Linked DNA regions of Saccharomyces cerevisiae S288C. Changing the gene in region 2 together with the main gene of any one other region gives a genetic interaction. Each region holds a gene or a part of one and is shown on either strand. Other genes may lie near its edges.

Evidence for each region. A genetic interaction does not mean that the proteins touch.
Region 1: mutations in SCS7 (region 2) and COG5 together harm fitness more than expected from each alone (negative genetic interaction), as found in Saccharomyces cerevisiae (5 studies listed by BioGRID).

The regions. Positions count from the first base shown.
Region 1 is NC_001146.8:531,048-534,430, forward strand, and holds COG5 (Golgi transport complex subunit COG5), read left to right. Parts: upstream 1-1,611; coding exon 1,612-2,823; downstream 2,824-3,383. Other genes in the region: tyrosine/serine/threonine protein phosphatase MSG5, read left to right, coding at 1-364; COX5A (cytochrome c oxidase subunit Va), read left to right, coding at 678-1,139; YNL050C (uncharacterized protein), read right to left, coding at 3,032-3,383. UniProt on the Saccharomyces cerevisiae protein: Acts as a component of the peripheral membrane COG complex that is involved in intra-Golgi protein trafficking.
Region 2 is NC_001145.3:808,963-812,344, reverse strand, and holds SCS7 (fatty acid alpha-hydroxylase), read left to right. Parts: upstream 1-1,567; coding exon 1,568-2,722; downstream 2,723-3,382. Other genes in the region: ZDS1 (Zds1p), read left to right, coding at 1-1,112; YMR272W-B (uncharacterized protein), read right to left, coding at 1,149-1,256. UniProt on the Saccharomyces cerevisiae protein: Ceramide hydroxylase involved in the hydroxylation of sphingolipid-associated very long chain fatty acids. Postulated to hydroxylate the very long chain fatty acid of dihydroceramides and phytoceramides at C-2.

The DNA of each region.
Region 1 (3,383 bases), on a different chromosome or scaffold from region 2:
GGGAACCATGTTGTCCAAGAACTCACCGGGCGAAGAAGGAGAGACTGTTCACATGCCTGAGGAAGATGACATCGGAAACAACGAAGTTTCCTCGACTACGAAGTCCTACTCTTCTGCGTCCTTTAGAAGTTTTCCCATGGTAACGAATCTATCATCGTCGCCGAATGACAGTTCTGTCAATTCTTCGGAAGTAACGCCAAGAACTCCTGCTACGTTGACTGGAGCAAGGACCGCACTGGCCACAGAACGCGGGGAAGATGATGAGCACTGTAAAAGTTTGTCTCAACCCGCAGATTCACTGGAAGCTTCTGTGGACAACGAATCAATATCTACTGCCCCGGAACAGATGATGTTTCTTCCTTAAGGGACAGCATCTCCCAAAAGAATCTTTATGACTATCAGATCTGCAGGCAGACCGCCTCCCTACGCTTCTAAATAGAATGTACTTAGCACTTCTGCCTACATAGTAATTATTCATCATTGTAAGTGTCACATTGCAAAAATCGTCCAATAGACGTTTTCCTCGTTTGTGATTGGCCCTACGTTTTGCGCCGATACAAGCGGCGGCGAAAAGTTAAAAAGAACAATCAATTAAATAAGAACCATCAGTCCTCGTATTTTGTCTTCTGTTTGCAAGCAATGCACCAAACACAAGATCAACTAAGAACGCATCTACAATGTTACGTAACACTTTTACTAGAGCTGGTGGACTATCACGTATTACATCCGTAAGATTCGCTCAAACACATGCTCTTTCCAACGCTGCTGTAATGGATCTGCAATCCAGATGGGAGAACATGCCCTCCACTGAGCAGCAGGATATTGTCAGTAAGTTGAGTGAACGTCAAAAATTACCATGGGCACAGCTTACTGAGCCTGAAAAGCAAGCTGTGTGGTACATTTCTTACGGAGAATGGGGCCCAAGAAGACCTGTATTGAATAAGGGTGATTCCAGTTTTATTGCCAAAGGTGTTGCTGCAGGCCTACTATTTTCAGTGGGACTTTTTGCTGTCGTCAGGATGGCGGGTGGCCAAGACGCAAAGACCATGAATAAGGAGTGGCAGCTAAAGAGTGACGAATATTTGAAGTCGAAGAATGCTAATCCTTGGGGTGGTTATTCTCAGGTCCAATCTAAATGAACAGGCCAGAAATTTTGAAAGGAAATCAATAGGGGTTAACGATTGTCATGGTTTTTTCAGCTAGTCTGTGACCTGTACGAAAGTGAATATCTTATTACATTATAAGTGTATCCATGGGCATCCGCCCAATACAATGCCAACATATCAAACATAAAATTGGCTGATTGCCACTCTCACATTTTTTCTTTATTTATTTACTCAAATTTTGTAATTTTTTGTTAGACATATAATTTTATATCATTATTCTTATTATTCTTATATTTAAGGGAACCCCCCTGGAATGAAATAAGCTAATATAGTATGAGGGAATCCTGTATAAATGGGTTTACCTTGTTATTCTATGCCTCCCTTTCAAAGACGTATTTCTTAAAAACTTCTCCATTTGGTTGAATACTATGAAAAAAAAAAAATCAACTAGAATAGATATGGAAGATAAAAATGTGTAACAAAAAAGAAGAAAAGAGCTGGAGGTATGACAATAGCGCCAATGGCAAACGATTTAGAAGATTTTGAGTCTCTGCTGGAGCCTGATTTTGATGCTAAACAATTTGGTAATGACTTACTGAAGGCTACTAATAACAATGACACAACCATTTTAGACCTTAACACGCCTCTTAAAAAGCTAAACTATGATCTACATGAGATTGACTCTAGAATAGACCAATTGATGAATAGCAACCCATTGGAGATAATAGAGTTAATTTACAAAAATGAACACGTCAATTCAACCATAGTTGGTGAGTTGAAACCAAGTTTGGGATATATGAATATGTCGTACGATAGACTAAAGAATCAAGTTCTAGATCCTTATGAAAGAGCGAGGAAAGTCCAACTAGCGTTGAGTAAAGTTTACCAAACATCTTTTCTCTTGCGCGGAGCATTGCTTTATATTCATTTATCAAACAAATTAAACGCACTGTCTAAAACAGCCCAACTAAGCACATCAACAGCTATTAATTTAGCCTCCTTACACTACCAACTTGAAATTACTTTGGAAGAAAATAAAAATCTAAAATCCTTGCGGAAAATTAAACAATTAGATCAGGACATTGTTTCCCCCAACAAAAGAGAGTTAATAACATTTTTGTCTTTACAAATGTGTAAAGAGTGCTTGAACTCTATTAAAATCAAATCGAACAAAGAAATAATATCTCAGCTGGCCTACTCCTTATATCTACTTTCATCTCAAGAATTCGAGTCTGCAATAAACAAGATTGTACTATCTAATGTTACAATGAGCTCACAAATCCTATCAAAAATTTTAAATTCTATCAGGATGTTTCCTGATGCGTTCAATGAAGTTGTTGAAAAAGGTTATAACATCTACATTTTAGAAACACTACTACAGAACATCAAAACGGATAATGTTACGAATTCCTCGAGATCTATTGCTGCTAATAAATCACGCCTTGGCAATCTTTTATCAGAATATACCTCAATGAAGAGTAAAGCAGGTTCTGGTACACCGAGAGATCTGTTTTGGAGCAAAGTTTCATCTGCCTTCAAAAAGGACTTTGATATATCTGTTAATAGAGGAGGCCCTGTGGGCAAGTCGCTGTTAAAAAATAAAGATTTTATTATAAACACTATGAAGCAAAGTATGAAAAAATCTTCTGATAATAGTGATTACCAAAGCTACTTGGATGTAATGCTAAACTCAGTATCTATTTCTCTAAATAAGTGAGACAGTTTACATAAAATTAAGAATGTTGATGAAATAGGATGAATCTAAAGCAATTTTCAATAGCATGTGCATATGTTTAATAAAAATTACATGAAATGTAATATTTGTTTATATTATTAAAGATTATACTAGTAATAGTTATTATGAGAAATCCAATATCGGTTAGTTTATATGAAGTATTAATATGTATATATATACATTTACGTGGTCATTCTGTCCTAAACTTAGGGGTACTGCCAGCTTTTGCCAGTGGGTTCAAAGGTACCTTTTTTTTGTTTTTCTTTCCACCACGCTTATGAAACTTTTTCTTCAACTGTTTCTTTATCTCACGAGCTTTGGTATCACGCTCCTTGGTTCTTTCAAGTGCCAGTTTTTTGGCTGCACGTTGCTTTTGACCAGGTCTCCTCTTTTTAATCTTCAATTCCTTCTGCTGCTCTAACTCTATTCTCGCATTGTGCTTATACAGATCTATTATTCGACCCTGGCAATATGGCCATTTATCACGAATACGTAGATCATCCTCCAGAATTTTTGTACTTTCTTGTATTATCACATCATAG
Region 2 (3,382 bases):
CTCTATTTAATGGCGGTGAGAAGACGGAGGTGTCAAATAAAGAAGAAATGAACAATTCAAGTACTTCCACCGCCACATCACAGACAAGACAGAAAATCGAGAAAACTTTTGCGAACCTATTCAGAAGAAAGCCACACCACAAGCATGATGCATCATCATCACCCTCGTCGTCACCATCATCGTCACCATCAATACCAAATAACGATGCCGTGCACGTTCGCGTGAGGAAAAGCAAAAAGCTTGGTAACAAAAGTGGAAGGGAGCCGGTTGAACCCATTGTGTTGCGCAATCGCCCTCGTCCTCACCGTCACCATCACAGCCGTCATGGTTCCCAAAAAATAAGCGTAAAAACCCTTAAAGATTCTCAGCCGCAGCAGCAGATACCATTACAACCACAATTGGAAGGCGCAATAGAGATAGAAAAGAAAGAGGAAAGCGATTCCGAGAGCTTGCCCCAACTACAGCCGGCCGTTAGTGTAAGTAGTACCAAAAGTAACTCTAGAGACAGAGAAGAAGAGGAGGCAAAGAAAAAGAACAAGAAGAGGAGCAATACGACAGAAATTTCCAACCAACAACACTCCAAACACGTCCAAAAGGAGAATACCGATGAGCAAAAAGCTCAACTACAAGCTCCAGCTCAAGAACAAGTCCAAACTTCAGTCCCAGTTCAAGCTTCAGCCCCAGTCCAAAATTCAGCCCCAGTCCAAACTTCAGCCCCAGTTGAAGCTTCAGCTCAAACTCAGGCTCCAGCGGCACCACCATTGAAACATACCTCCATATTGCCCCCAAGAAAGCTTACATTTGCAGACGTCAAAAAACCTGACAAACCAAACTCCCCGGTTCAATTCACAGACAGTGCCTTTGGGTTCCCACTGCCTTTGCTGACAGTGTCTACGGTTATCATGTTCGACCACCGTCTACCAATTAACGTCGAAAGGGCCATATACCGGCTGAGTCACTTGAAATTGAGCAATTCGAAGAGGGGACTGCGCGAGCAGGTATTACTAAGTAACTTCATGTATGCTTATCTGAACTTGGTTAATCACACTCTGTACATGGAGCAGGTAGCCCACGACAAAGAACAACAACAACAACAACAACAACAACCCTGAAAAGGCTTCAGCGCTGCATACATAGACATATACACATCACACGTACATACACGAAAAGATAGCTTTCATGCTCACAAAGCTACGTTCCCCACAGAATATTTCCCAGGACAACAGGGAAAGTTGGACAAACACCAAACTTCTCATAATACAATAGCCGAAAACAGTCTTGCTTTTGATAAAGAGAGCTTTCTGCGGCCGGAAGAAAATGTGCCTATTCCGCGGGGCCGTTCCGCGCAGAAACTACCGCACGACGTCGGAAATATAACGGGGTTTTGCGCGGATTTACTGACGTGTGACATCTTTTCGCAGTTAATTTTTTTTTCAATTTGGAACCGTATAAGAACAGAGGTATTAGATAGTAGAAGCTATTGTGTCTATTGTCTTTGATTAGTTTTTTTTTCTATTGTTATCGTGGCAGGCACTAAAAGCGGTGGTAAGCTAAAACTAGTACGAAGATGTCGACTAATACTTCCAAGACTTTGGAACTGTTTTCAAAAAAGACGGTACAAGAACACAATACTGCCAATGACTGCTGGGTCACTTATCAAAACAGAAAGATTTATGACGTGACCAGGTTTTTGAGCGAACACCCTGGTGGTGACGAGTCCATCTTGGACTATGCTGGTAAGGACATTACTGAGATCATGAAAGACTCAGATGTGCATGAACACAGCGACTCCGCGTATGAAATCCTTGAGGACGAATATTTGATTGGTTACTTGGCAACTGACGAAGAGGCAGCGAGATTGTTGACTAACAAGAACCATAAGGTTGAAGTGCAGTTGTCAGCTGACGGTACTGAGTTTGACTCCACTACTTTTGTAAAGGAGTTGCCCGCCGAGGAGAAACTAAGTATTGCTACGGACTACAGTAACGACTACAAAAAGCATAAATTTTTGGATCTGAACCGTCCTTTGCTGATGCAGATTCTGCGTAGTGATTTCAAGAAAGATTTTTACGTTGACCAAATCCATAGACCAAGACATTACGGTAAGGGGTCTGCCCCGCTATTTGGTAATTTCTTGGAACCATTAACTAAAACAGCTTGGTGGGTTGTTCCAGTTGCTTGGTTGCCTGTAGTTGTGTACCACATGGGTGTTGCTTTGAAGAACATGAACCAGCTATTTGCATGTTTCTTGTTCTGTGTCGGTGTCTTTGTTTGGACTTTGATTGAATACGGTCTTCACCGTTTCCTATTTCATTTCGATGATTGGTTACCTGAAAGTAACATCGCATTCGCCACACATTTTCTACTACATGGTTGCCATCATTACTTGCCCATGGACAAGTACCGTTTAGTTATGCCACCTACTCTGTTCGTCATCCTTTGTGCTCCATTTTACAAGTTGGTATTTGCTCTGCTGCCACTTTATTGGGCTTACGCTGGTTTTGCTGGCGGTCTTTTCGGTTATGTCTGTTATGACGAATGTCATTTCTTCTTGCACCACTCTAAATTGCCTCCCTTCATGCGTAAGTTGAAAAAATATCACCTGGAACATCATTATAAAAACTACCAACTGGGATTTGGCGTCACATCCTGGTTTTGGGACGAAGTTTTTGGCACCTACTTAGGCCCCGATGCCCCATTGTCCAAAATGAAATATGAATAATTATTGGTCAGCCTCGTCCAAAATTGTCAACCTAGGAAAAACAACATTACGAGCAATGAAATCTTGAGCAAAGTTCTTTTCTGCGACATATTTATTTCAAATCTTTATTTATATTATTATATGTAACTACGTATATATACATACACATGGAATGGAATCATAGATGAAATCGATGAACAAGCACGTTATTTCTTAAACGAATATCCAATCGATGACGACTATACGAAAAAGCGGCCTCAAAAAAGAACCGAATTGACAGGTACATTTTTCTTTCACAGATCAGGTTGGCAAAAAAATACTAACCGTATCCTGTGTTACTGTCGTTAGAACAGGAATCAAGATGAGCACAGTGAAGTTATCTGATAGTCCCTAGACTCTCATTGACTTTTTGTAATATTAGGACACAGAATATACTAAGGGTTCTTCTCGAGAATAAATGAACACATAAGCAAATCAGAAATTCTACATACTATAAGAGTACCTCATACCTAATCATTTCTTAATCCATTCCGTTATCAGTAATTGCATTCGAGGTTCCATTAAACTGGTGCCGACATTTATATAGTTATATTGGTCCAATGATCTTATCATCCTCCACACCGTATACAACTATATCTTAGTAAACAACGGCTAGTAAGTGAAACGATGGTCCATTTTAGG